3 linked regions of the Elephas maximus indicus genome follow. The protein of the gene in region 2 purifies or fractionates together with the protein of the main gene of each other region. This does not show direct contact. Links are inferred from orthologs where the notes say so. Each region holds a gene or a part of one and is shown on either strand. Other genes may lie near its edges.

Region 1 (10,315 bases), on a different chromosome or scaffold from region 2:
GCTAACCAAAAGGTTGGCAGTTCGAATCCACCAGCTACTCCTTGAAAACCCTATGGGGCAATTCTACTGTCCTATAGAGAGCTCCTTGGAAACTCTATGTGGCAGTTCTACCCTGGCCTATAGGGTCACTATGAATCAGAATTGACTTGACGTCACTGGGTTTGGTTTTGGTTTGGGGGTGGTGTAAGGTAGAGTGGCGGCCCTTCAAAATGCTACTTAGTTAAGTGTATAAAATAAGTCTCCTGACACACCCCCTGCCCCCATTAAAAGCCGTAAAAACCACTTTACACAGTATCCTCATACAAGCATACTCTTCCTAAAAAAGTGACAGGTCACCTCTACAAGTGATACACTCTACGGTATCCTAGTCTACTGAATTAGAAATGCCGAATACAATGAAGTAAACACATTTATTTCAAGACCCACCCCCAGCAGTCTCACTAGCACTGCCCTAGGCTCTTTCTCCCACTGTTTCACACTACAGTAGGCTAAAAAAAAAAAAAAATAGCCAGAGATGGCATTGTGGGGGGGGGGTGCGTAATTAACTAAGAATGCCCCACCCAGCAGCCCCTAAAGTGAATCCAACCTTCACAAACTCCCAGCAACGACAGCAGCTTCCAAGAGCCCCACCCTACCTGTCCCACCTTATCTGGCTGCCACTCCTGCTCAGACACAGAACTCACCACACCCAGGCCGCACCCTCAGCTCCCAACTGCCTCCTCGGCTGCCTGGTGGAACACTTGAAGCCTGGATGGCCCAGAGTTCAGTGGGAAGAACTCCACCTCTCACTGCACAGGATCCACTTATTTGAAGGCAAAACTGGCTCTGGATTTCAACTAGCCAGGTCCCTGGGAGCTCTTTGGGAAGGGCCTTTGCCTGGGGTGGGGGGTGACTAAAGTAATACCCACAGCAAATGAAGTGGAGCCAAGATTTGGTTTAAGAAAGGAGATAGAAGCAAAGCTCTGCAGCAGAGCAGGCTTCACCACAGAGAAAAATAGTGAGCGGCATAAATTCCATACCATCTCAAGACCTCAACTCCAGATTCACATACTTTAGACTCAAGATCCAGAACACCCCCACCTTATTTTCATACGGGAAAGGATACCCCCAGCTTGCTCTTCCCACAGACACCATGCCAACTCTCCTGCATCCCTCACAACCAGTTAACTGCCAGCTCTACCGTGTAAGAGCTACTTGAAGGCCGGTACCTCATCCAATATATTCAACCTGCCCCAGCCAGGGCAGCAGACGCTGCAGACAAACAGTAAGGGCCAAACACTCTTGAGAGCTCTTGCAGGTAGCCCACCTGGGTCTACAAAGCCCACACATGCGAAGGGCCAGTTCTCTAGCAGCAGGAGGCCAAGCATACAGACATATGGACACACTACCTTACTTCCACTGACAGTGTGGAACTTTTTCTCCAGAACCTTCTTCACAGGTTCCTCTTCTTTATAGGTGATAAAAACAAAGCCTCGTCTTTTGTTTGATTTTGGATCCATGGGAAGTTCGATGGCCTCAATCTGTAAACACAGGCAAAGCTCAGGGTGTGTGCCTCCCCTGGCCCAGAGCCTAGAGGACACAAGGAAAAAAGGCACTGGCCAGGCAAGGCTGCCAAGGACCAAGAGCAAAGCAGCCTCAGGGCAGTTAGCAGGTGACTCCTGGGAACACACTCACCTCTCCAAACTCTCCGAAGTACTCCCTGATTTTTTCTTCAGTGGCTTCGGGATTCAGACCCCCAACAAAAATTTTCTTCACTGGGTCCTTCTTCATGGCCATGGCCTTTTTGGGGTCAATGACACGGCCATCCAGCCTATGCTCCTTCTGGTCTAACACCTGTTCCAAAAAAAGGTGACTAGGTCTAACTTAGCTGCATGACCCTAGGCAATGCCCTTCTCTGAGCCACAAAACTCCCAAGCAGGTACACAATATGTGCTTCAACTCCTCCAAACTCTACCCCAGCCTGACTTCCCAACCCAATTTTCTTCAAAATCTGAAGCACCCTAATACCTATGAATCAGTCCCACCCTTGACTTTCTTCCTGTTCAGGCGGTCCCAGTGGAAGGCATGACTCCTCCAGAAATAAAGCAGCAGTGATTAAGAGTACAGGCTGGAGCTGGGCTATGGATCCTCCTGCCACCACTTACTAGTTGTGTGATTGCTTCATAAAATTCTGAGCCTTTATTTTTTCAACTGTAAGACGGTGCTAAAAATACCTACCTCATAGCAACTATAGATTCTTCTCTAATCTTTACTGAAGATAAGCACACAGAAAAATAATCTAATTAACCTCATCTTCCTTGACCACTCCAGCCCACACTCTTCTCTTCCCATTTTATCTGTACTTTTGCTTCTTCAAGAACACAACCTCTAACTGCTCTGCTTTTCCCAAAGCACTCAGCCACATGCAGAGCACAAAAACTAATCAGTCTAGAATGAACAATGTTCTCAACTCAAACCCTATGTATTAAGATTGCTGACACAAAGTCCCCAGCTTACCTTCTCCACACTAGTTGCATCCTTGAAGAGGATAAACCCAAACCCTCTTGACCGTCCAGTGTTGGGATCCATTTTTATCGTACAGTCAACGACCTCTCCAAATTTGGTAAAATAGTCTTTTAAGTCCTTTTTGCTGGTATCCCAGCTCAGGCCACCAACAAACATTTTTCTGTAACAGTAGGGTGAGGACAAGTAAGTCTTACAAGAACAGCATGATTTCAGAAAGAACTGACCCTCCCAAAACCGAAAGAACTACAAGTAAGGCCACCATCACAAAGGCCTACACAACCCTTGAAAACTGTTAGGATTTTACTCTCAAAGATGTACATCTCCACTACCCCCAAGTGACCCTAGACCCTTACAATGCTTAATACGGCATACCCCCAGGTCTCTCACCCAACGAGGAAAGGAAGAACAACCTCGCCAAGGGTACAGACCCTGACCACTCATAACTGGAATTTAATACGCCTAAAATCCGCTTTTCAGAGGTCTATCGTGACCCCTGTTTTTTAGCTCCTCCCGGAATCTCGCTCGAGGAACTGGAGGCTTCCGGGAGCCGAGACCACGTTGAGCCCGACTCCGCCCCCGACGGCGGGAGGCGGGAGGAAGGCCTAGGCCGGGGCGCGCGCCAACACCGCCCACGCAGCTCGAGCCCAGACCCGGCTTGGCCCCGGGTGCGAGCGCGGTCCCTCCTCTCGGCGGTCCGCCCCGCACGGCGCGAGCGGCCCTGGGGCGGCGCCAAAGTCGACCCAACAAACTCCGGCAAACTCCGGCGCGAGCGGCGGCGCGGCGAGCCCGGAGGGGAGGCCCGCGGCGAGCCCGGAGGCCAGACCCGCGCGGCCGCCACCAGGCCGGGCCGCCGCCGCCCCTCCCCCCGCCGCGTGGCGCCAACAAAAGGAGGCCCGGAACAAAGGCGGCGCCCCGGCCGCCCGCGGCACCTACCCCGCGTCCTCTTCGTTCTTGCTGGCGTTGATCTGGTCTCCCTCGGCGCTGTTCTGAGTCCCCGCCGGGGGGGCCGCGGTCCCGCTTCCGGCCCCTGTCGCGGCCCCGCTGCCGGTACCGGCCGGCGACTCGCCTTCGGGGGCGGCCTCGTGTCCGTTTTCGGTGGCGCCTGTCGTCTCCATGGGTTGCTCCTCACCCACTTCCGACATGCCTAGGCCGGTGCGCGGCGGCTCCTGCAACGAAAGGCCCCAAGCGGCGACCCGCGTCAGCTGGCCCGGCGCCCGCCCCGACCTCCCGAGCGCCCACCCGCCTGCCCGCCGGCTCACGGGCCGGGCCGCTTACCTCGCCGCCGATGACGCTGCGGGGCCCGCTCGTTCCCACTTGTCGGGGAAGGCGCCGCGGGCTCGGCCCCGCTCACGCTCGCGCTGCCGGGGTTGACCCGACCCCCTTCCCGCTGCCGCGACTGCCGCCGGGCAGAACCACCGACTCAAAGCCCTCTTCGGCCCGCGCGGTTCCGCCGCCTGACAATGCCGACTCGTGGCGCTCTTTATAATGCCGAAGCTGGGGCCACCTCGCAACAAGACGCGTCTTCATTGGATGCGGTCTCCCGTCACTCAGCTTTAGGCTGGCATATCATTGGCTGCGACGGCGCGCGCGCTCTAGATCCGGGCGGGCTTTGTCCTCATCTTAGAACCCGCGCGAGTTTGGGGCCTTGATGAGGGTTCTGGAGGCCGGGCGGGATGGTGGCGTGTTCCGGCTGCACGGCAGCCGGAGCCCAGCTTCGGAGAAGCCCAGAACGAACCCTGACTCCCTGAGGCCGTAGCCGCTAGCTCCCGTTACCCCCATCCCAGCACTGGCGGCCTCAACCGCCTCACTTCTCAAAAGGGGAACGGCGCGAGGAAGTCTCGCAGTCCAAGGTCGCCCGACTGGAAGAGGCAGAAGCCGGGCGCCGGAGTCTGAGCTTCCGGGATTGGGCGCATGGGTTCTCAGACCGCGCTCCTCTTTGCCCTTGGAGCCCCTCGTAGCCCCCCGCTCCCTGCCTTTTTGCTGCTTCCCCTTCCTACAGTGATGGGGCGGGGGGGAGGGGCATCTTGCCAATGGCGGGGGAAGAGCCATGGATCACGGTGTTCCCCAATCCTCGGTGCGCACCATATCGGTGATTAGCATCATAGTTATAGTTTTGTTTACCTAAATCTTTCCTTTAGATTAGTTCATTTTTGCTAAAATTTATTTTTAACAAAGCATAACCACGCCTGTGAAATCATGAGTTGCGGGGGACAGTGGTTGATTATCTTTTTTTAATACACGGAGATACAAAATCGCTTTATATCATCTACCAGGCTTCAAAGGCTTGCGTTACCCCATGATTGCTTTTAATCATTTGGGTTTGGGGCCCCAAAAGGCCCAGGATTACATCCTCAGAAGCTTGGATTCACCAAGTAGCAACAGAACACAAGTAGCTGATATTTCCAGCTAGATTCCTGCAGCCAGGCCCTGTGCAACAGGCTGAGCATTCTGTTCTCTCATTTGGTCTCCTAACAACCCTATGGTGGTGGTACCATCACAGTCACCAATTTATAAATAAGAAAATGGAAGGCAACAGCATGGCCAAGGCCACACAGCCAACCCTGCCCTAATCCAGTTAGCTGGACAATGGAATTACTGTGAGAATGAAAACTGACAATCACATTAATTAAAAATAAAAAAAAAATCTAGACTTCAGACTTTCTACAAAAATCTGAAGATTTGGCCACACTGGGCTGTTTTCCTCCAAGGCAGCAATCAAGAGCTACCCCCAGGTGAGCCAGTGCCCTGTGGTTCACCCCAGGGACTACCTTACCTCTTCACTCTTTCAGGCTAGATTCCTTGACTGAAATTCACATATCTCCATAAAACCTTAGTCATGTCACTGCCAGGAAATCTGGCAGTGAGGCTTGTGGGGAAGTCCCCAACCAACTCCCCAGCCCAACTCCACCTACTGCCCTGCCCACTCACAGAAATAAGGGCCAGTGATGTGGCCAACAAAAGATGGGTGAAGCTGCCCAAGCAATCAAAGTGATGCAGGCGATTGAGTTCAAAGTCAAATAGTGTAAATGCAGCCCCAGGACATAACTACTGAGGGCCTAGTTTCACTTAGTTTCCTGCACTCATCCACATGGATTCCTTTAGCAGAACTCAGAAATGCTTTCAATGACAGGTCAGGTTTGATCATAACAGGATTTGGACAGTGCTTCACAGTTTGCAAAATGCTTTTACCAACATTGCTTCATTGGAGCTTCAAAATAGCTTTGGGCAGTGTGATGGTTAATGTTTTGTGTCAACTTGGCTGGGCTGTGATTCTCAGTGTTTGTATGTGATTACCCCCATGATGGGATCTGCTGTTTCTTTGGGCATGTGGCCTGCATCCGAATTTAAGTGGACGTTCTGGCTTTTGGCTGCTCTGGATCCTGCAGCTGCCTTCTGTTTGTCTGACCTCCCAGTCTTGAGACCTGAGCTAACAGCTTATCTGCTGATCTTGGGATTCCTGAATCTTCACAGCTTATGAGCAATAGCCCTGCCCTCCTACCTACCAATCTTGAGTTCGCCAGACTCTGTGGCCACGTGAATCAGGAAAAGCCTCTGTCTTGATCCACAAACTTGGGACATTCCAGCCTCTACAATTGAGTGAGCCATTTCCATGATATAAGATCTGTCTATACAGGTATTTATACATTTTACTGGTTTTGCTTTTCTAGAGAACCCAGCCTAAGACAGGCAGTTATCCATACTTTATACCCAAGAACACTGAAATTGCATGGCTAAAAAGTGTGGCTGAAAAGCCATCACTTCCAATTGGATTGGAGATTGTTTCCAGAGCTCCTGGCTGCTGTGGGCCACAGTGTTTCTGAGCTTTGATTCCTTGGTCTAATTTAGAAGATCTCATATCTGATTAAATTTTTGTGAAGCTAGAATGAGACAATGGCTTAGAAAACATGTGGTAAATTATAAAGAACTGTGAACAGGCAGGGATCAACCTCAGCACAGAATGCTTTATACTGCACCCAAGGGTGTTTTGGACCAAGGCAGGACACCAGGCTGTTTGGAGGAAGTAGGGAGTCCCTCTGACACAAGGATCTCCCCTCTTGTTATTGGATCTTGGTTACAGACCTTAAGTAAAGAATACCTTCCATGGCAATGAGGTTCTCAAGTCATCCAGGGGCTTAATTACCCCCTAGAAACCCATTACACGGCCTAGTGTACAGAACCTGGACTCTGGGGATTCAAACTGTATAGAAATACATATGTAGAGTGTGTACAATCTTAGATCTGGAATACAGAGGACAGGCACAATGCATTTGGACAGGTTTTTATTTATTTTTAATTGTACAAACCTATTTTTCTCATGTTGTCCTTTTTTTTTTTTTTTTTTTTTAGCTGAGCCTGCAAGGTGGCAATTGTGTGAGTTAACTGCAGGTATGCTGTGACTCTGCTGAGGCCAATTCCCACTCTGGCCACTTCCCACACTTGCCCAAATGGGCTCCAGCTCCCCTGCTCCAGGGCCAACTCTGGCTACAGCCAGAGGACTCTTTCTAAAACACAAGTCTGGTTCTGTCACTTGTTGTTAGGTGCCATTGGGTCAGTTCTAGCTATTGCGGCCCTATGTACAACACAACGAAACACTGCCCAGTCCTTTGCCATCCTTACAATCATTGTTATGCTTGAGCCCATTGTTGCAGCCACTGTGTCAGTCCATCTTGTGGAGGGTCTTCCTTTTTTTCACTGACTCTCTACCAAGGATGATGTCGTTCTCCAGGTACTGGTCCCTCCTGATAACATGTCCAAAGTACGTGAGACATAGTCTCACCATCATTGCTTCTAAGGAGCATCCTGGCTGTACTTCCTCCAAGACAGATTTGTTCATTCTTCTGGCAGTCCATGGTATATTCAACATTTTTCTTTAACATCATAATTAAAAGGAATCAATTCTTCAGTCTTCCTTATTCATTGCCCAGTTTCACATGGATATGAGGCAATTAAAAATACTTTAGTCCTCGAAGTTACATCTTTGCTTTTTAACACTTTAAAGGGGTCTTTTGCAGTATATTTGCCCAATGCGATACGTCATTTGATTTCTTGACAGTTTCTTCCATGGGCCTTCATTGTGGATCCAATTAAAATGAAATCCTTCACAACTTCGATATTTTCTCCATTTATCATGAGGTTGCTTATTTGTCCAGTTGTGATGATTTCTGCTTTCTTTATGTTGAGGTGCAATCCATACAGAAGGCTGTACTCTCAATAAGTGCTTCAAGTCCTCTTCACTTTCAGCAAGTAAGGTTGTAGTCATCTTCATATCAAAGACTGTAAATGAGTCTTCCTCCAGTCCAGATGTCACATTCTTCTTCATATAGTTCAGCTTCTCAGAGTATCTACTCAGCATACAGATTGAGTAAGTATGGTGAAAGCATACAGCCCTGATGCAAACTTTCCTGACTTTAAACCATGCAGTATCACCTTGTGCTGTTTGAACTACTGCGTCTTGGTCTAAATACAGGTTCCTCGTGAGCACAATTAAGTGTTCTGGAATTCCCATTCTTCACAGTGTTATCCATAATTTGTTATGAACCATATGGTCAAATGCTTTTGCATGACAAATAAAACACAGGTAAACATCTTTCTGGTAGTCTCTGCTTTCAGCCAGGATCCATGTGACATCAGCAATGATATCCCTCATACCATGTCCTATTCTGAATCCGGCTTGAACTTCTGGCAGTTCTCTGTCAGTGTACTGCTGCAACTGCTTTTAAATGATCTTCAGTACCATTTTACTTGTGTGTGATATTAATGATGTTGTTCGATAATTTCCACATTCTGTTTAATCACCTTTCTTTGGAATGCGCACAAATATGGATTTGTTCCAGTTGGTTGGCCAGGAAGCTGTCTTCCAAATTTCTTAACATAGACTAGTGAACACCTCCAATGCTGCATGTTTGTTGAAACATTGTTATTCCATTGAGTCCTGGAGCCTTATTTTTCATCATTCCCTTCAGTGAAGCTTGGACTTCTTCCTTCAGTACCATTGGTTCTTGATCATTCACTACCTTCTGAAATGGCTAAATGTCGACCAGTTCTTTTTGGTAAAGTGACTCCGTGTATTCCTCCCATCTTCTTTTGATGCTTCCTGTGTTGTTCAAAAATTTCCCCGTAGAATCCTTCAGTATTGCAACTTGAGGCTTGAATTTTTCTTCAGTTCTTTCAGCTTGAGAAATGACGAGCATGTTCTTCCCTTTTGGCTTTATAACTCCAGATCTTTGCACATGTCATTATAATACTTTACTTTGTCTTCTCAAGCACCGTTTGAAATCTTCTGTTCAGCTCTTTTAGTTCGTCGTTTAGGAACTCAACATTCAAGAGCAAACTTCAGAGCCTCTTATGACATCCATTTTGGTCTTTCTCTCCTGTCTTTTTAATGATCTCATGCTTTCTTCGTGTGTGATGTCCTTGATGTCGTTCTACAACTCATCTGGTCTTTGTTCATTAGTGTTCAATACATCAAATCTCTTGAGATGGTCTCTAAATTCAGGTGGGATATACTTGTCTTGGTTATCTAGTGCTGCTATAACAGAAATCCCACAAGTGGATGGCTTTAACAAACAGGAGTTTATTCTCTCACAGTCTAGGAGGGTAGAAGTCCAAATTCAGGGCGTCACCTCTAGGGGAAGGCTTTCTCTCTCTGTTGGCTCTGGAGGAAGGTCCTTGTCATCAATCTTCCCCTGGACTAGGAGCTTCTCAGTGCAGGGACCCTGGGTCCGAAGGACATGCTCTACTCCTGGTGCTTCTTTCTTGGTGGTATGAGGTCCCCATGTCTCTCTGCCCACTTCTCTCTTTTATGTCTCAAAAGAGTTTGGCTCAAGACACTATCCAATCTTGTAGATTGAGTCCTGCTTCATTAATATGACTGCTACTAATCCCGTCTCATCAACACCATAGAGACAGGATTTACAGCACAGGAAAATCACAACAGATGCAAAAATGGTAGACAATCACACAATACTGTGAATCATGGCCTAACCAAATTGATACACAAATTTTGGGGGGACATGATTCAATCCATGACAACACTCAAGGGTGTAATTTCGAATCCACCAGGTGCTCCTTGGAAACCCTATGAGGCAGCTCTTCTCTGTCCTATAGGGTCGCTATGAGACGGAATCGGCTCGACCACAATGGGTTTGGTTTTTTTCTTTTTTTTGAGCTTGCTCTAATTTTCATCAGCTTCAGCTTGAACTTTCATCTGAGCAATGAATCGTGTTCGGAAGTTGGCCACCGGCCTTGTTCTGACTGATGGTATCAAGCTTCTTCATCATCTCTTTCCACAGATGTAGTTGATTTGATTCTTGTGTATTCTATGTGGTGAGGTCCACATGTATAGTTGCCATTTAGGTTGTTGAAAAGGGTATTTGCAATGAAGAAGTTGTTGGTCTTGCAAAATTCTGTCATGCGGTCTCTGGCATCGTTTGCCATATTTTCCAACTACCAGCGCTTCTTGAGAGCCCTGGTGACGCCATGGTTAAGTGTTTGGCTGCTAACCAAAAGGTCAGCAGTCCAAATCCACCAGCCGCTCCTTGGAAACCCTATGGGGCAGTTCTATTCTGTTCTATAGGGTCGCTATGAGTTGGGATTGACTTGAGAACAATGGGTTTAATCCTTTGTTTCCAACTTTCACATTCCAATCACCAGTAATTATCAATGCATCTTGATTGCATGTTTGATCAATTTCAGACTACAGAAGTTGGTAAAAATCTTCAGTTTCGTCATCTTTGTTATTAGTGGTTGGTGCGTAAATTTAAAAAATAGTCATGTTGATTGGTCTTCCTTCTAGGCATGTGGCTGTTAT
Region 2 (10,088 bases):
GATCCTATTCTAATCCACAGGAAGATCCTTTGCCACGTAAGTGTCAAGCAAATGAGAACTCACAAAAACATTACAAAATTAGCATTCACCTTCATCTCAAAACAGACTTTGCCTTTTGAAACACCGTAAGATGCCCTTCCTCCAGCCCAGAGAAAAGCAAAACTCTCCATAGTAAGAGAAGAAGCGCTGAGGCGATCTCTTGATATTTTAAAATGTAGGTCACAATTATCTGTAATTATATCAAGTATCACATTATATTCTTTTGACATCAATGTGAACATTTCTGCTACACAGACAAAACTTGGTTATTAAAATTTTGCATTTCTTGATGCTGCATCAAATTTATTTTTCAACGTATCATGCTGTCCTAGTTTCAATTCAAACCCCACTCCCACCAAAAAAATCACTCATATTACCAAATTAAAAGCTAAAGCATAAACTGCCTGTAAAACTAAGAAATACTAAGTTTTAAGCATGTAATCAAGACAATGTGACATTAATACATACCTGCTCTGCTCTTTACCTTGACATACAGGCAAGCAGTAGACGATAGCAGAAAATGAAAGCGAAGCATGCCAGAACCAGGCTGAATTTACCAGTGCCACAATAAACTGAAGGGAGGCCATGGCCAAATATTTTAAAGTAGGATTATGAGCTGTTGAGTTTGCCCTTTGTAACTGAACAACAGCCCTCCAGGCCCCAAACTCTGTTCTAAAACTTGGGAGGGGAGCCTTGATCTACATGGTGTAACTCTGGTCTAAAGGTGTTCATATTATAGCCCCTTTCTGAAGGATTGCTTGTCAGTCAGTAGGGATGGGATTATCTATGTCCTGGATCATCCAAAGCTTCTTAGCTATCTGTGGGTCACTGGCTTATCAGAATGCATCTTCTCAGCGTTCACACTTGAGAGCCAACACTGAGTCACAAACCCGGGGTTTTATTTATTTATTTTTGGAGTAAATAAATGCTACAGTTTGTAATCCTCCATAACTATCTTTGCTCTTAAAATTCCTTTTATCACAGATAGAACTTGCATCATATACAACCTATCTGAACCCAATACTGCACTTGAATTGCTATCTCTAATCTGCTGAAGACGTATTTACTTTCTAATGGCGGCCTTACCTTCTTGCAACATTACTTCGGCATTCCAAAAATTCCTAGTGACTTTATATTTAAGCAATGGAATTTACTATGAACTTTCAAATCAAAGAAGGACTTACCCATGTGAGGCTTTTTTAAAAATCTCAATGAGTATCTCAGCTACTTATAAATAGTGTTTAAAAAGAAATCAAGAATTTTACATTTACTCTTGCAAATCTGAATAAATCTACAGGGCATATCTTCAATCTACAGGGCAGGTCACCATCTTACCTGCTTGTACTTCAAGCCATTATTTCCACCCCTTATTCTACTTCTCTGAAAAAGCTTTGTGTTCTATCGAATACTAAACTAACAATTTTTACAATGAAAAAGATAACAAGGCTGACAGCCAAGGCCCATTTAGAGGTTTGCAATACTTCCTTATACTCAATTGCAACCCAACTGGCAAAAGTAGCAGTATTTACAGTGCTGCCATTGATACCATTCGCTGCTGAAGAAACTAGTGGCCCAGTGGTAGCCCACTGCTGCTGCCCAGGTCTTTGGAGGAAATCAACTTATGTTAAAGCAGCAGTTACTGAACTGGAATTGAGAACAAAAGAGCAGTTATTGAAAAAGTATTATTACAATCTTTTGTCAGAATAGGGAATATACTTGTGTGCTAACGGAAAAACCCATTACTAAGTATTCAACTAGCCCAAATAGCTCACTTTACATAATGCTACAAAAAATGTAATTACTTTACCATAGAACCCTATTAGGACAATTCATGGGTAGTCTTACAAGTTTGAATTAACTAATTAGTCAAAAATTGGCATTAATTTTATATTCCTGGTAAAAACTTCCAACTTATATAAAAATTACTAAATCACTAAAACCTGTGAAATTATCAATACAACTGATGCTGTACTAAATGTTTAGCTGCCAGAATCTGAATACAGACCACATCTTACTTATATTTAACAAATTACTTAACCTTACTAAATTTTCTATATTCAACATACAGCACTGTTTTCTAACGTACTGGAACCAAAAATCACCGCATGAGAAAGTGGGCGGGAGGAAAAATAGCTTCACTTACAAGTATCAAGGCAAACCACTGTGTCATCAAAGTGTTCATCTTCTTCTTCAACAGGTGGCTGAGGAGATTTAGCCCTGAAAGAGAAATTGTCTCCTGATACAGCTTTTTCCATCAACGAATGATGAACAGGTGACAATTAAACTCGGTTAGCATCCTCTACCTGCTGTATTTGTTCTCTTCAATGTACTCAAAATATCCACGACCGTGATCTTCCCGAGGTCTTTTAACACCTCTCTTTTTATCTCCGCTTTTCTGTTCTGTTTTGCCGTCTCCTATAATACACGACACCTTATAAGAGGCCAAGGCGCAAAACAAAAAAACCTTTTCTATTTTGAAACGCCAAAAGGCTCGACTCTCCTGTTCTTTTTTAAAAAAAAAAACTTTAAATCGACAAACCAATTGTGAATTTCCAACAACAATCAGTGCAACAGGATTTGAGCTAGTGACGCAGTCTAGACAGCGCTCGTTTTGCCAGTCTACTCCGCGATTTTAGAGACAGCGCAGGGAAAACCTGCGCGGCGCAAGCCGAGAGCCCACGTGTACCCCGAAGAGAGTTCAGGAAGGGGGGAAGGGCCGGGCCTCCGCTCCCGCGGCCTCCCCTCCCCCACCCGGGCCCGCGCTCCTCGGCCGCTTTGTACTGATCTTCCGCCCGGCTCCGCCCGCCGGAAGTGACGTCACGCCAGGCCCCTGCGCTCCTTGCACAATACAGCGGCGAAGAGCCGCCAAAGCGCGCCCGCCCCAGGACCGCGGGCCTCTCCCCTCCCCCCGAGACATGTGCCCGCACCGCGCGCACGCACCGCGGCGGCGCCACCGAGGGCCGACGGGGCTCCCTGCCGCCGCCCGCCCGCTCCTCTCGCCCCCCCACCGGCGGCAGCTGCAGCTCCCGGCTCTCGAGCCACATAATGGAGGCGCTGTCGCCACCGTCACACACACCAAGGCCGAGGCCTCACGGCTAATCCGGGATTCCCCGCACCCCCCCCACCAAGCCAGCCACCAGCAGGCTCCGCGCCTCCCTGGCCCGACGCCCCCGCAGGGCTCCCTCCCCCTGGCGGGGCTCCGGCAGGCCTGGGGCACGGTCCCCACCCGCGCGGGCCTCCCGCCGCGCGCAACGTACAACGCAGCACTCACCCGCCGCCGGAGCCCCGGGGCGACCGCCGCCTCCGCCGCCTTCCGCCTTCTTCTTACCTCCCGCCTGCTGCTGGCCCTGCCTCGACCCGGGCGGCGCCACCGTCACCGCGAACAGCGAGGTGGGGCCGCTGCTCTTCCCCGCGGCCTCCTTGGCGGCCCCGCGCTGCTGCTGGGGCTGTTGCTGCGGCGTCGCCGGCGGTTGCGGCTGCTGCTCCCCGTGCCCGTTTTCGTCGCCCGCGGCTTCCTCCTCGTCTCCGAGCTCATCTTCCCCTTCCTGGAAACCCTGATCGTCGCCGTTCTCGTCTTCCGAGCCGGCCTCCTCCTCCATAGGGCCCGAGTCGGCCGCCCCCGCGGCCCCGTTCTCCTCCCCGAGCTCCATCTGGTCGCCATCCAGGGCGGCGATCCCTTCCTCCTCATCTTCCTCCTCCTCCTCCTCCTCGTCGCCGGCGGTCGCGGCCTCTTGCTCGAGGCCTGCTCCGGAGCGCCCGGCGGAATCCCCGCCCAGATCTAGGCTGCCGTTCCCGGGCTCCATGGCGGGGCGGCCCCCGGCCTCCTCGTCGTCCAGCGCGGCCTGGAGTCGCTCCATGAGTTCGGCCTTGAGGCCCTTGTCGGAAAGGCGCCGCTTCTTGAGCTCCTCTTTCAACTCCGACACCTTCAGCTTTTTTACATTAACAGGCGAGGAACTCATCGTGAGGACCCCGATTCACCGCTAGGTGCTGGCTCAAACTCGGCTCCGCGCACACGGCCACTAGTGGCGGCTGCTGCTGCTGCTCTTCGGCCCGGGCGGCGGCTGCGGCTGCGGCTGGAGGTGGGTTCGTGCTGCAGAGCGGACCCGCCTGGTGTCGAACGGCGCCAATTCCTTTCACCCAGTTCGCGAGGGAGACGCGGAGACTCGCCTGGCGCGAGCGAGCACGCAACGTCCTCTCGCAGGGGCGGCGCCGCGCACGTAATATAGCCGCCCCGCCCCCCCGCTTACGGTAGCGCTGCGCAGTAGGAAAGCCGGAGCGCGCCCGCGCCTTGGCCCCGCCCCATTACCGTACTTACCTCCCCGCCCCCACGCCGAATCCCGGGCCGAGAGCGCGGCGCAGGCCGCGCATTGCGCTTCCAATTGGGACTGAGCAAATGGAGGAAAAGGAAACCGCCTTTCAGTTAAACCGACCTGCTGCAAAACCTATTGGCCTTTCTAATTTTTTAGTGCCGATTTCCGTTTTGCTTTTTGCTTTTCCAGGCCGGAGGCTGCTTGTATCCAAATGTTTTCAGTCCTCAACTTGGCATTTTCAATTCAAATCCCCAACCTTTTTATCCTTCCATCTTAGATTTGCTTTCTTATATATTTCAACCGCTATTTGTTTAAAACTCCAAGTTTTATTTCGGTTTTGATTTGTACAACACAAATGAGCAATTGCTATATGCAGAGTCCCGCCCCCCCACGTCTAATTTTTTGCCTTGCGAATTGAATTTTAAATTCTGAAGGGCGAGGGCAGAGCCTTTCTTTTGTCTTGGTGCAGGCTTGGGAGATAGAAACTTGCTTTAAGAGCGCGGTCTTCTGTAATGTATGGCACACTTCACAGGCCTTTGCATGGGAGCTGTTCTCTTGGTTTTAATAGACACAGAATTTAACAAGTCCGAGAACTGCGTTTCTGAGTTTACCCACCAAAAAGACGGATATTCAACAATACGCTGACCAATTTAGGACCTGGTCATCAGTTATGAAATCCCAGTAGCCAACAATGAGGATGAAACCCAACCAGGTCGTGCACTTTTATTCCTACTGGACTAAAACTGGTCAATCGAATCATGCTGAAACTATAAAAGCTTATGAAAAATAAAGGGCTAAGATTTTGTTTAAAAAATAGACTTTCACTCTCGAAATCTGTTATTCTGTTGTATTTTAGAAATTTAATTTTTCTTTTTATTAAATTAAAGGTGTCACATGTCTTTGAAGTCTTGATAGGGGTACCAGAATTGAGATTTGTGATAGAGATGAACTTCAGAAACCGCAGAAAATCTGCGCAGTGACCAGCCAGTCTTCCATTATCTGACTAAGGAGATCAGTTATGCCAACTGTTAGGTGCTTTAGCTGGCATAAAAATGCGCCAATGTTAATTTGAAATTTGGAAGTATAGAAATGTGTACTTAACTTTCTCCCATAGGCTAGTGTGATTTCACTGATTAATAAATTTTCTTTTAAAAGTTTGTATTTTGGAGCTGTTAAGAAGTATGTACCTCACCATGCATGCACGGCTAAAGATAAAATATTAACATTTGTGAAATGATTTGAGTTGAAATTAATAAACAATGTACAGTACTGGTTATTCTCGTTTCAGGTTAACTGAGGTGGTGGGCATAGCCCCCAAAATAGACTTCCAAATAGTGCCAAAAACTCATTTTAGCCTTTGGTTATAATGTCCTTGAAGCTTATAAAAAAGGTACAAAATAGAATTTGAACTCTTTGTCCTTGTTCAAAAATAGGAAGAGAGCTACAGGAGGCTCACACATTCACACACTAATTAGCCCCTAATGAGTCAGGTAAATACAATTATTCTGGTGGTCTTTAAATTTTTTTTTTTTTTTTTTTAGATATTACTTGCATTTTTAGACATTAGTGATATGAAAACAATTTCCATTTAACTGGAAAAAACTAAATTACAAAAATAAAGTTCATATATCTAAATATAAGATTTATAATAGCCATTCTTGGTAGTAAATCAGTTGTAATAATAAACTATGAACTATACCTTTAAGTGCACACTAAAAGGTCCCCTGGCTTTATCTCCAAGAGGTTTGTAGACTTTTAGAGCTGGATGGAGCCTGGAGATCATCTTTACTCTGCTTATTCTACACACAAGGAAACTGCGGTCCCTGCTCCCACACCAATGCTGTTTCATATCATCGCACAGCCTTAGACAACACTTGAAAGGGTAATAGTTTTTCTAAATGCTCAAAAAAACATCAGCTTACTCTTCCTTTTTTACAAAAGGAAGAAATCTGCCATGAGATGTTTTTATTTTTCCACTGAAAGTACAAATAGTGACTTATTTTACTAATTGTTTTTGCTTCTTATGCTTTTAATACTATCATGATAGACCTGTTCTACAGAGACTAACAAAAGTTCAGGGTTGTTGTTGTTATTCTTCTTAGGTGCCATCGAGTCAGCTCCAACTCATAGCGACCCTCTGCACAACAGAATGAAAAACTGTCTAGTCCTGTGCCATCCTCACAATTGTTGCTATGCTTGAGCCCATTGTTGCAGCCACTGTGTTAATCCATCTCACGAAGGTCTTCCTCTTTTTTGTTGACCTTCTACCAAGCATGATGTCCTTCTCCAGGGACTGATCCTTCCTGATAACATGTCCAAAGTATGTGAGATGTAAGTCTTGCTGTCCTTCCTTCTAAGGAGCACTCTGGTTGTACTTCTTCCAAGACAAATTTGTTCCTTCTTTTGGCAGTTCAAGATATATTCAATATTCTTCATCAGCAACACAATTCAAAGGTGTCCATTCATCTTTGGTCTTCCTTAGCCATTGTCCAACTTTGCCATGCATATGAGGCGTTTGAAAACACCATGGCTTGGGTCAGGCGCACCTTAGTCCTCAAGGTGGCATTTTTGCTTTTTAATGCATTAAAGAGGTCTTTGCAGCAGATTTGCCCAATGCAATGCGTCTTTTGATTTCTTGACTGCTGCTTCCATGGGTGTTGATTGTGGATTCAAGTAAAATGAAATCCTTAACAACCTCAATCTTTTCTCCGTTTATCATGATGTTATTTATTGGTCCAATTGTGAAGACTTTTGTTTTCTTTATGTTGAGGTGCAATCCATACTGAAGGCTGTAGTCTTTGATCTTCATCAGTAAGTGCTTCAAGTCCTCTTCACTTTCAGCAGGCAAGGTTGTGTCACTTGGAGTCTTCCTCCAATCCTGATGCCCCATCCTTCTTCATATTGTTCAGCTTCTTGGATTATTTGCTCAGCACACAGATTGAATAGGTATGGTGAAAGGATACAGCCCTGATATATACCTTTCCTGACTTTAAACCACTCAGTATCCCCTTGTTCTGTTCAAAAGACTGCCTTTTGATCCATGTACAGATTCCTCATGAGCACAATTAAGTGTTCTGGAATTCCCAGTTCTCTGCAATGCTATTCAAAATTTGTTATGATCCACACAGGTGAATGCCTTAGCATAGTCAATAAAACACAGGTAAACATCTTTCTGGTATTCTGTGCTTTCAGCTAGGATCTATCTGACATCCACAATGATATCCCTGTTTCCGCGTCCTCTTCTAAATCTGGTTTGAATTTCTGGCAGTTCTTTGTAGATATGCAGCTGCAACCGCTTTTGAATGATCTTCAGAAAAATTTTGCTTGCATGTGATATTAATGATATTGTTTGATAATTTCCGCATTCGGTTGGATCACCTTTTTTTGGGAATAGGCATAAATATGGATCTCTTCCAGTTGATTGGCCAGGTACCTGTCTTCCAAATTCCTTGGCATAGAGGAGCAAGTGCTTCCAGCGCTGCATCCATTAGTTGAAACATCTCAGTTGGTATTCGGTCAGTTCCCAGAGGCTTGTTTTTCTCCAGTGCCTTCGGTGACATTTGGACTTCTTCCTTCAGTGATCGGTTCCTGATCATATGTTACCCCCTGAATTTCTGAGGGATCTATAAGGAACTTGAAATTCCCTCCTTTTGAAGTCCCAGAGCCTACCAAGAATACAGAGTGGAAGAGGGCACAAATTAACTCTCAGTAGCAAAAAGTGATTATCGAATTATCCATGGATAATAGGTCTATGAGAGGTCATTTCAAAGTTTGGGTGCTCGGAATATATAGCTTACATTTTGAGTTTGAATGAAAGAAAGAAATACAGGCTTTCTCCGCTATCCAAAAGGAGATTGTTCCTATGAAAATCTTTGGTAAGCCAAAACGGCATAAAACAAAGACACAATTACCATTAATTCATACAGGAAAAAATTTTGAGCATTCTCAGACCCAGTACATAACCTACCAAACCATACCAAGTAACCCATAAAACTTAAAACAACGCTGACATATAGTAAAAGCAGAAATGATAACATAAATACGCAGCCTGTATAAAATAAAAATAATGTATGTAGAGTGTAGTAAAATGTCCAGTTTTACACTAAGTGTAACACCCTTACGAGCTCACCTAGGCTTTTCTGATACTTTAAGATGCATCATGCTAACAGATGCACAAAATAAATCGAGATAAAGCACAGATACTCACAAAGTTATGGTGGCTTGATGCTAAGATGCTGAGTGTAGTTCCCGGGCAAGGGGCTTGGCAACATCACTCTTGCTGCTCTGGGTACACGCTGCCTGTTTAATGGCTTGCTGCAAAACAAACTCTGAATGCTATTGCCACTTTTAGCCTTTTTTTTTTGGTAAAAGTGGAAATCCTCTTCGGATTTCTTTCCGTTAGTGAAAACAGGTACTGACGTAGGTCTTTCTTAAAAGGGAAGTGGTATAAAATGAATTTTCAAAAAGCAGGGGACACCTATATACCTAAATGCTATACTTTGTCACAAAATTTCAGCAAATATTTTTTTGAGCACCTTCTCTAACCCAGGCACTAGCCTACTAGGGATACAGCAGTGAACCATGCAAACACACCTTCACTGTCTTAGGAAGAGTTAGTAAATAAATAAAATAATTGAGATGTTGACAGTACCCATTGAAACCTGTTGCCATCAAGTTGGTTCCAATTCATAGCGAGAGGGGCAGGACGTGCTGAGATGGGGGTGAGTTTTCAGTTATAAATGGGGTGGTCAGGGAAACCCAACTAATAAGTTAACATAAATGCATACACTAGAGGAGGTGGAGGCAGAGGGAGCAGCAAACGCAGAGGCCTGAGGGGAACAACAGTGATCAGGGGTAAGAGCGAAGCGGGGAGATGCAGATTGCAGGTGGTTTTGTAAGGATTTTGGCTTTTGCCTCCAGTGACAGGGAAGATGTGGAAGGGTTGTTACCAGAGGAGTGACATGAACTGACAAATGCTCAATTAAGTAGACTCAACATGGGCTTTACTAATCATGACATTTTTCCATTTAACTCTTTTTTTTAATAGTATACCCAAAACCAAGCCAAACCCATTGTCAATGAGTTGATCCTGACTCATAGGAACCCTGTACGTAAAAGAACTGCCCCATAGGGTTTCCAAGGGTATTATCTTTATGGGAGCAGATCATATCTTTCTCCCACAGAGCTACTGGTGGGTTCCTGCCACAGACCTTTTGATTAGCAGCCAAGTTCTTAATCACTGCACTACTAGGGTTCCTTTTTGCAAGTCCAGTTTAAACTGAATTGGTGGGTTCGAACCACTAACCTTACCCACTGACCTTTCGCTTAGCAACCAAGCACTTTAGCCACTCTGCCACCAGGGCTCCTTAACTTAAATTAATGAAAGAAGCAATTAAATATGTTAAGATGCATTTTCCAATGTATTTTTAAAAAGGTATAAGAAGTTACAAGTACCTTCAAACTATTATATGCTAAAAGCACACATTTTTCCTACAACTTAACGACAAAAAGCCCAATTTAAAAATAGGCAAAGGACTTGAATACACATTTCTCCAACGAAGATATATTGTTGTTCTCGTTGTTAGGTGCCGTTGAGTCAGTTTTGACTCATAGAGGCCCCACATACAACAACAAAACGAAACACTGCCCGGTCCTGCGCAACCCTCACAATCATTGCTATGCTTGAGCCCATTGTTGTAGCCACTGTGTCAACCCATTTCACTGAGAGTCGTCTTCTTT
Region 3 (9,845 bases), on a different chromosome or scaffold from region 2:
CTCCATAGCCACCACCACCCTGGTCCTGATTGCCATAACCACCACCGCTGCTGCTACCACCACTCATGGGAGGCTGATCTTGGCCATAGTTACCTGCCAGGAAAGAACGTTAAATAACACAAACAAGTTCAACAGTGCCAGGAGATAACGTACAATAACAACAAGCCCAAAATACCTAAGGAACAAGAAAACTCAGGAATATTCTTGAAGAGCTAAGCAGTAGAATACAAAAATTCTTAAATAGGTAAAGAGAACACAGGCAAAGCTGCAGCTCCTTCTCACCTCCACCACCTCCTCCTCCGCCGCCACCCCCACTGCTACTGTTGTACTGGTTCTGCTGTCCATAGCCCTGAGGGGGATTGTAGGAGCTTTGCTGCTGTCCGTAGCTTTGCTGCTGTCCACCATAGCCAGACTGTTGGCCATAGCCTCCACTCTGAGGCTGCCCATAGCTGCTGCTCTGAGAACTGCTTCCATAGCTAAAGGAACAAAAACCAGAACCATAGCAGCATGGCCAAAACACCCTTTCACTTCTAGCGTACCCTCTTCTCTGAACCCAACACAAACACCCCCAATCCCTCATAATTGTTCCTATTGTTAGTCACATTATCATGCCTTTATCAATTCATCTCCAATACTCCAAGCCTTCCCCTCGTACCTCCCTTACCTTCCTGAAGTGCTGCTGGGAGCTGGAGGCTGGCCATAACCAGGATAGGAAGACTGCTGCCCGTAAGATGACTGGGAACTCTGGCTACTGCTATAGCCACCACTTGAGCCATATCCCTGGGGAGCTGACTGGGTGCCATAGCCTGCTAAAAGGAAATGAAAAGGAAGCACAAAGGCTATGAAAAGAGAGAGAAGGTACAAAACGGGTTGAAGAAATTGTTATATACTACCTTTTTATAGACTGAACCGTGTCCCCCAAAAGTTATGTGTTGTAGTCCTAACACCTGGTGGCACAGTGATTAAGAGCTTGGGTGCTAACCAAAAGGTCTGCAGTTTGAATCCACCAGCCACTCCCTGGAAACCCTACGGAGCAGTTCTACTCTGTCCTATAGAGTTCCTATGAGTTAGAATCAACTAGATGGCAGTGGGTTTGATCCCTATGGCTATAATCCCATTTCAGAATAGATTTTGTTATGTTAATGAGTCAGATTCCGTCTAGGGTGTGTCTTAAACCACTTTTCAGATATAAAACAAGCAGATTAAGCAAGTAACCCGGCAGGCAAGTAGAGACAGGGACAATACAAGCCACATGATGGCCAAGAAACCTAGGAATAGAAGCTGAAAAGAAACAAGGACCTTCCCCCAGAGTGGACAGAGAGAGCATTCCCTTAGAACAGGTGCCCTGAATTCAGACTCCTAGCCTCCTAAACTGTGAAAAAGTAAATTTCTGATTGTTAAACCCAACTACTTGTGGTATTTGTTACAGCAATGCTACGTAACCAATACACTAACTGATCCTCACCCATACTTGAAAAGTCAGCCTCTTAGAAGGTACAAGTGAATCTTGTAACTCAAAGCCTTAAATTTACACTTCTCTTCCACCTGAAGTCTACTGCCTCAACTTACTATCAACTCTTTAGTTCAAAGAGACCCAAAGACAGTCTCTAAGACCACCATCTAATTGTAGCCCAAAAAATCCTATTTATTAATAGCATTTTAACATGCTGGTTATGTGTTCAGCACATACAACACCACTCACCTTATTTACTTACCCTTCTGGGCCTCAAGGCAAATTCAACCTCCTAGTGTATCACGTGTTGTACGGTAACAGGACTTTAAACATCTTTAAGTAAACCATACCTAAGCCTAAAAAATGTTCCTCTGTTCAGGGAATACCCTCCCCACATTTCACTTTCATAATCAAAGGGGAAATGTGAAAAGGTCCAGCAAAAATTAAAAAGATAAAAAGCCAAAGGCAGGAAAAAAAGTTACAAACCAACATGTATTTCCGTTTGAAACAAAAGACTCTGGCCAGAGAAGTTCTACATTTTATAGACAGGCTATGTGCCAAAAAAAAAGGACAATTTCAACATTTCCCCACTGTTCAGGTTTAAGAAAAGCAACACTCAATGCAGGAATAGGTCAAGTGCCCACTAAAAGAGACTCACTGTTCTGAGTCTGTCCATAAGAAGAACTATAGCTGCTCTGGCCATAACCTGAAGTGTCCGCTGAAGGGCCGTAACCACTGTAACTCTGTTGTCCGTAGGGCTGACTGCTCTGCTGGGAGTAGCCCTGCCCAGGTTGGGTGGGATAGGCTCCGTAGCTGGTCAAAAAAAAAAAAAAAAAACCAGATTAGAGAAAGACTCCTTGGCCACCCTGCCCTGTACAAACCCTGGAAGCTGAGACTCAACACTCACCTTTGGGTTGCTTGTTGGGTATAATCTGCAAAAAGAAAATACAAATCACATTACCTTCAGCCAATCCTGAAAGAGTAGGATAAAGCTAAAACTCCTTAACTCAATCACTGGGATTTCCAAGAAAAAACAACAAGCAAGACTTACAAAAACATAAATTACCCCATGAGACTCTAGTTGAGAGGAGGGGCAAGCTGGCGGATTTGTCAAATTTTCTTACAGCAAAGAATGATAACCATACAAAGAAAACGCAAATCTCTGCAGTGACCAAAGGGAAAAACAGCTACAATTTTCTGCAAAGGAACAGCTCTAAAACATTTTACATGCGTTTTCACAACCACTCTTTAAGGAAAGCACTACCAAGAGTAAAGACAGAGTAACATGCCCTACGTCAGAGACAGGGCTGAATTCAAGCCCGAGGTAGGAACGCTCGGAATGCTGTCTCCATTCTTTCAACCCAAAGACATTCTTGTCTCAAGTGTCCATTTTCCGACTTCTGTCCAATCTTACAGATCGGCCAACGTGGGCTTTTGGCACTAACCCAGGCAACCAAAAGAACCGCCCCCCCCTTGGCCCCAAACAGGAGAGCCATCAGTTCGCCTCAGGAAGCAAATGGTACTCAAGTCCCCAGTCCTGTGAAGCTTGAGAGTTCTTTCCTCATCCACCCTGCCTTCTTTGGAGCCTTGGGGAGACTCGGCAAACCGAACGGAGCGAAAGCGCTTTTATAACGCCAGATTAAAAGAGGTACGAACATCCGTACAGGAAATGAGGCGTTTCCCCCAAAGGGAAAGGCAAAAGGGAAGAGGGTGTGGCCCGAGCGGCCGTGCCTTTCGGCTCCCATCTCAAAAAAAAAAAATTTAGGCGGGAAAATCCTCGGGTCTGGTCTCCAAATCCCCTGGTCTCTCTTCCTGTTGCCCCCAGACCGTTAGGCCAGTGCGTGGCCCTGATCCCGAGCCTCCGCCCCCAGCCGCGTGGCAACCAAGGCGGGAACGGAGCAGTCCCGCCCCTTCCCGAGGGACCCCGGGGGTGAGACGGTGTCACACCGGACGCACGCCGCAGGCTCTCCAGCGGAGGGCCTCGCGACAAAAAACGGGGCTAGCACGAGGCGGCAGAAGGGTGCGCGCAGCTAAGGGGAGGGACCGCCAGAGCGCGTGCGCGCACCGAGTGCCCGGATGCAGCACTGCGACAAAGCGGTCTAGAGCGCGGGGCTGGGAGCGAAGGAAAAGCCTCTCCTGGGTCCGACCGTCTCCATCCTTACCTCATGCTTCAAATCATCAAGAAACGTTCCTCACCCTCCCCCCACAGCCACCTCAAGTAAAAGGAAGACCGACCCACCCACCCCGCGCTCGCAGGCCCCGAAGGAACGAAACAAAATGGCGACATCGGCCTCCCCCTCCCACCCTTCTCCGCTGCTTCCCGCCCCAGGGGTGCGTGGAGACGATTCCACACGCAGTCGCCGCCCCGGTCCCACTGAAAAACAAAAGCCCAGCTACAAGGAAACGAGGCCTTAGGGCTGGCGCGCCACCGCCGCCTCGCGCCCACACACATACCGTTTGAGGCCATGTCCGCGCACGCGCGCACAAGCCGACAAGCAACAAGATTCCACCACCACGGAACACCGACGCCTCGAGGACTGAGCAACCCCGCCTCCTGCGTCGAGGCTTATGTACGCCTCCCCCGCCTACGTACAGCAGGGGACTGTACCAAATGCGGAAAAAGAAAAAGTGAAGCAGGGCTGGATTCTACCACGCTTCAAGAAGTATAGACAGTTCAGGCCTCAGGAAGAAGCATATTAACCTAGAATATTAATAATCATAATATATAATCATACTTTCCTATAAAACACTCTAATTTTCTCTGACGCGCTACCCCACGATTCTCCTCTACCCCTGTAATTGCATAATGGTAGAGTCCGATGACCTGCTGGGGGCGGGGCGAAGGGCCCAGGGAGCCGGCGGTAGTCAAAGCCGGGATTTGCTGGGCGGGAAGCGAAATTCTCGTCTCTGGCCGCTTTCACTGGGCCTCGCTTTCACTCAGGACAGGGAGTTCTTGCCTTCCGCTTCGCCAGCTGAACTGTGCCGCCCGCCGCCAACCTCCCTTGCACACTCACACCCCCGCTGACTCTAACGCTCCTTTTCCGACGCACATGAACTCTCTCACTGCCTCAATTTTCACTTCATTTTTCATGGCTGCCTATTCTCAGTCCCTACGAGGGTGTGTAGATTTTGAGGTTAATTTAATTTGAAAGGAAGCATAGATTTAGCCCAGGCGCGTTTCGCCCAAACCTTCAGGCTTTGCCCCTTATTAGCCGTGGGAGGGGAAAGCCCACACCTCCCTGGACTTCGGAGAACCTTGGGAGCTACCTTTTATTCTCCTGAATCCCCACCAAGGCACCAGTTTAGAGATGCCAGTAATAAATGACATTTGTTATAAGGCGTAAGTGGTTTAAAAATGCGCAATAACTGCGTTCCCATCACCATTTTGTGCGGTCGATTCCAACTCATACCGACACTCCCATAGAGTTTCCAAGGAGCACCTGGTGGATTTGAACCGCTGGCCCTTTGGTTAGCAGCCATAGTACTTAACCACTATGCCACCAAGGCTTCCTACGTTTTATAGGTAAGAAAAGTGAGTCTCAGGCCAAGTAAATCCATGATTGTAGGGCAGCTAAAGGTCAGTGGTGCCATTTGAATCCAGGTCTGTGTGACTGCAAAACATTCCTTTTGTTGGCTACATGAACACTTTGGAGTGTTCAGAAGCCTGTTCACTTCCCTTGAGAGCAAAGAGAAAAAATGAAATTCAGATTAACTCACAACTTCCACTCTATAATAAGCCTTGCTTGGAGAAGGCAACTTTTAACTCTAGAATAAAACAAAGGTTACTCCTGATAACATGCCATGCAAATTTTCCTTCCCAACTTACTTCTCCAGAAGTCACTTTGTAGGTTGGACGCGTTTTTCTAGAGAAACAATGAGGGGTACGACCCAACCTGCCCATAAACTTCCATTAAACCTCTGATTTGGGCCTTGAACACACACACACACACACGCTTTGGAAGGGTAATGAAACTCTGAAGTGAGGGCAAAGGGAAATCCATCATTGATTCATTCATTCAACAAATATTCATTAAACACCTACCGGGTTCCAGACAAGGGAGCCCTGGTGGACCCTGTTCTAGGCAGTGGAGATGCATTAGTGTAAAAACAGATGACGCTAGCATTTAATACTGATATGTGTTATATCTATAGATTGTTGTTGTTTTGGTTAGGTTCTGACTCATAGCAACCCTATGTACAACAGAATGAAACACTGCCCGGTCGTGCATCATCCTCACAATCCTTATGCTTGAGCCCATTGTTGCAGCCACTGTGTCAGCCCACCTCACGGAGGGTCTTCCTCTTTTTCGCTGACACTCTACTTTTCCAACCATGACATCCTTCTCCAGAGACTCAACCCTCCCGATATCAACCCTCCCGATAATATGTCCAAAAGTATGTGAGACGTAGCCTTGCTCTCTTTGTTTCTAAGGAGCATTTTGGTTGTACTTCTTCCAAGACAGATTTATTTGTTCTTTTGGCAGTCCATGGTATATTCAATATTCTTTGCTAACACCACAATTAAAAGGTGTCAATTCTTCGGTCTTCCTTATTCATCATCCGGCTTTCACATGCCTAAGAGGCAATCAAAAACATCATAGCTTGGGTCAGGCGCCCCTTAATCTCCAATGTGACATGTTTGCTTTTCAACACTTTAAAGAGATCTTTTGCAGCAGATTTGCCCAAAGCAATGCATTGTTTGATTTCTTGACTGCCACTTCCATGGGTGTTGATTGTAAATCCAAGTAAAATGAAATCCTTGACAACATCAATCTTTTCTCTGTTTATCGTGATGCTGCTTATTGGTCCATTTGTGAGGATTTTTGTTTTCTTTATGTTGAGGTATAATCCATACTGAAAGCTGTGATCTTTGGTCTTCATCACCAAATGCTTCAAGTTCTCTTCACTTTCGGCAAGCAAGATTGTGTCATCTGCATAACACAGGTCGTTAATGAGTCTTCCTCCAGTCCTGATGCCACATTCCTCTTTATATAGTCCAGCTACTTGGATTATTTGCTCAGCATACAGAATGAATAAAAACCAAACCTGTTGCTGTCAAGTTGATTCCAACTCATAGCAATCCTATGGGACAGAGTAGAATTGTCCTGTAGAGTTTCCAAGGAGTGCCTGGTGAATTCGAACTGCCACGTTTTGGTTAATGGTGTAGCTCTTAACCACTACGCCACTAGGGTTTCCACAGAGTGAATAGGTATAGTGAAAGGATACAACCCTGACACACACTTTTCCTGATTTTAAACCACGCAGTGCCCCCTCGTTCTGTTCCAACTACTGCCTCTTGATCTACGTGTACATTCCTCATGAGCACAGTTAAGTGTTCTGGAATTCCCATTCTTCCCGATGTTATCCATAACTTGTTATGATCCACAGATGTTATGATCCACACTATGCCTTTGATTAGTCAATAAAATACAAGTAAACATCCTTCTCGTATTCTCTGCTTTCAGCCAGGATCCATCTGACATCAACAATGATATCCTTCATTCCACATCCTTTTCTGAATCCAGCTTGAATTTCTGGCAGTTTCCTGATGATATACTGCTGCAGCCACTTTTGAATGATCTTCAGTAAAATTTTTCTTGTGTGTGATATTAATGATATTGTTCGATAATTTCTGCATTTGGTTGAATTTCCTTTCCTGGGAATAGGCATAAATATGGATCTTTTCTGGTGGGTTGGCCAGGTAACTGTCTTCCAAATTTCTTGGCGTAGACGAGTGAGCACTTCCAGAGCTGCCTCTGTTTGTTGAAACATCTCAATTGTTATTCCATCAATTCCTAGAGACTTGTATTTTGCCCGTGCCTTTAGTGCAGCTTGGACCTCTTGCATCAGTACCATCGGTTCCTGATCATATGCTACCTCTTGAAATGGTTGCAGGTCAACCAATTCCTAATAATAAAAATACATATTATATTTATGTGTTATAAAACCGAAAACCAAATCCAGTGCCGTCGAGTTGATTCTGACTCATAGCGACCCTATAGGACAGAGTAGAACTGCCCCATAGAGTTTCCAAGGAGCCCCTGGTGGATTCAAACTGCTGACCCTTTAGTTAGCAGCCGTAGCACTTAACCACTATGCCACCAGGGTTTCCTTATGTGTTATAGCTATACATAATATATTTATAATAGCTAGCACTTTGATAAGGCTTATTAAGTGTCAGGCACTGTTTTGAGTGCTTTGAGTATAACTTGTTTAATCTTATTTAAACAAGTAAGCCTATGTGGTTGGTGTGAGGATTACAATTTACAGATGAGGAAATAAGTACAGAAAGGTCAAGAGCTGTGCCCAGGGCCACACAGAAAGTGGCAAAGCCAGGTTCTCAACCTAAGGAGGCGGACTCAGAGTTGCCGCTTGTTACTCTACACTTAGCAAACATAGTTTGAGCACTGCATAGCATGGATAAAAAAAGACCAGGTTCCTGAATCACAGGACCTTATGGCCAGTGGGTAACAGTGGCACATGAACTTCAAAGTGTACTTGAATCAAATATGCTAAGTTTTATAACATGGAATCAAGAACTCTGGAAACACTGCTGAGAAAGGAAGTGATCCATCAGGTGGACAACCAGTTGCTGTTGAGTTGACTCTGACTCATGGTGACCCCATGTGTGTCAGAGTAGAACGGTGCTCCATAGGGTTTTCAATGGCTGACTTTTCAGAAGCAGATTGCCAGGCCTTTCTTCTAAGCACCTTTGGGTAGACTTGAACCTTCAACCTTTTGGTTAGTTAACCATTTGCACCACCCAGGGATTCTAAGTGGACAACCAAAGAACACTAAAGAGGAGTGGTAACATTAAAGCCAGGCCTGATAGGATAAGTAGCAGTTCTCCAAGCATCAAGGGAGGAAGGGGTATAACAGGCAGAAGGAATAGCATGGGTGAATAAAGGCACTCATGCGACAGAGTGGTGGAGAGTGGCAGGCTCAAATTGTGACCGCTGAAAAGCTGCGTTCCAGCCGCCATTTCTCAGGGCTTTTCTCTCTCAGTGGACCTCTCCTGATTCACACAACATGGGGGCCTCTCACTCCTTCTCAAAAACCTCCTTACTTGACACCCCTGCTCTTCACCCTCCCACCTCTCCCACTGTCTCCTTTCCCTACAGTCTCTTCTTCTGCTCTCCCTGTAGACAGCAGTGTTCTCTGAGGTTCCGTCTTCAGCCTTTGCTTCTCTTTCAAGACCCAACACCACTGTGGCCTGGCATGAAATGTGGCCTACATGTTGTTTCTAAAACTATTTAACTAGGCAAGCAATGTCACAAAACGATATGCGTATTGTTTAATGAGAAACTAATTTGCTCTGTAAACCTTCACCTAAAGCACAATTTTAAGAAACTAACTAATTGCCGACATTGACAATACTGAAGTGTTGCACAAAAACACAAACTTCTGACTTTTCTTGAAAAATGGAGGCTTTGGCCCTCCTGGGCTCTCTTTCCCATAGGGCAAGGGTCAGCTGGAACAAGAAGCTACTGCCTTTAGCTGGGGTCAGTGCTTGTAGTTCCCCTCAGCCTCTCTTACACCCTAATGTTTTGACACAGAAGCCAGTGCTCATTGCCATTTGTTTCAGGTGTTAAAGCAGCTTTTCTTGGAGTTAAAAGGAAGGAGAGATATTTCTTTCCTTCAAAAGTAGAAAAACCAAAGAGGACCTGGTTTTCAGGCCTCCAGCTGGCCCTTAGAGGATGTTACTTTTGTGACCTCCTTCCAGACCAGGGGTTTTTAACCTCTTTTGTGCCAATCCCCTTGGGGGTCTGAAGGCTATGGAGCTCAGAATAATATTCTTAAATGCATAAAGCAAATTTCATAAGAATACAAAGAAAACCAATTGAATAGAAACACAGTTAGCAAAATATTTTTAAAAACATCTTTGTGGTATACTAATGCATTAAGTATAAAGATCTACTGGCAAGTCCAACGACTTTCATAATTTTGACATACAGTAGAATGTAAAAAATATATAAGATAGTTTCAAATATTTAAGATAACCAAAACACGTTGCCGTCGAGTCGATTCCAACTCATAGCGACCCTATAGAACAGAGTAAAACTGCCCCATAGGGTTTCCAAGGAGCAGCCATAACTCTTAAACACTACACCACCAGGGTTTCCTGTTTAAGATAAGTTGTTGCAAACTGTGATGTGATAGAGATTTCTGTTGGTGACAAAGGCCCAGGTACTGCCAATGCTGCTAGGATTTGTTGCCTAGAGTCATCATATTGAGAAAAATGCAAAGTGTTGGTTAGAGGTTAGTGAAAATAAAGACATAATATTTTCCCATCAAATATGGGACTCCTTGAGTGCTATTCTCAGACCCTTCCAGGGACTTCAGGTTAAAAACTCTGGTTCTAGACAATTTCATCCACACCATGCCTTCAGCT

The links. The genes of interacting proteins can lie anywhere in the genome.
Region 1: the proteins of HNRNPU (region 2) and HNRNPAB purify together in Homo sapiens (affinity purification with mass spectrometry; 4 studies listed by BioGRID and IntAct, with this or other methods). This does not show direct contact. The link is inferred for Elephas maximus indicus from reciprocal best matches to the Homo sapiens genes HNRNPU and HNRNPAB.
Region 3: the proteins of HNRNPU (region 2) and FUS purify together in Homo sapiens (affinity purification with mass spectrometry; 7 studies listed by BioGRID and IntAct, with this or other methods). This does not show direct contact. The link is inferred for Elephas maximus indicus from reciprocal best matches to the Homo sapiens genes HNRNPU and FUS.

Annotation. Positions count from the first base shown.
Region 1 is NC_064820.1:198,349,395-198,359,709, reverse strand, and holds the start of HNRNPAB (heterogeneous nuclear ribonucleoprotein A/B), read right to left. Parts: upstream 3,987-10,315; 5' UTR 3,781-3,986; intron 3,672-3,780; 5' UTR 3,648-3,671; coding exon 3,439-3,647; intron 2,666-3,438; coding exon 2,497-2,665; intron 1,834-2,496; coding exon 1,675-1,833; intron 1,521-1,674; coding exon 1,389-1,520; intron 1-1,388. UniProt on the Homo sapiens protein: Binds single-stranded RNA. Has a high affinity for G-rich and U-rich regions of hnRNA. Also binds to APOB mRNA transcripts around the RNA editing site.
Region 2 is NC_064842.1:19,262,946-19,273,033, reverse strand, and holds the start of HNRNPU (heterogeneous nuclear ribonucleoprotein U), read right to left. Parts: upstream 4,241-10,088; 5' UTR 3,999-4,240; coding exon 3,311-3,998; intron 2,455-3,310; coding exon 2,343-2,454; intron 2,257-2,342; coding exon 2,183-2,256; intron 230-2,182; coding exon 90-229; intron 1-89. UniProt on the Homo sapiens protein: DNA- and RNA-binding protein involved in several cellular processes such as nuclear chromatin organization, telomere-length regulation, transcription, mRNA alternative splicing and stability, Xist-mediated transcriptional silencing and mitotic cell progression.
Region 3 is NC_064830.1:90,406,112-90,415,956, reverse strand, and holds the start of FUS (RNA-binding protein FUS), read right to left. Parts: upstream 3,987-9,845; 5' UTR 3,921-3,986; coding exon 3,908-3,920; intron 2,386-3,907; coding exon 2,361-2,385; intron 2,267-2,360; coding exon 2,112-2,266; intron 810-2,111; coding exon 665-809; intron 477-664; coding exon 283-476; intron 94-282; coding exon 1-93. UniProt on the Homo sapiens protein: DNA/RNA-binding protein that plays a role in various cellular processes such as transcription regulation, RNA splicing, RNA transport, DNA repair and damage response. Binds to ssRNA containing the consensus sequence 5'-AGGUAA-3'.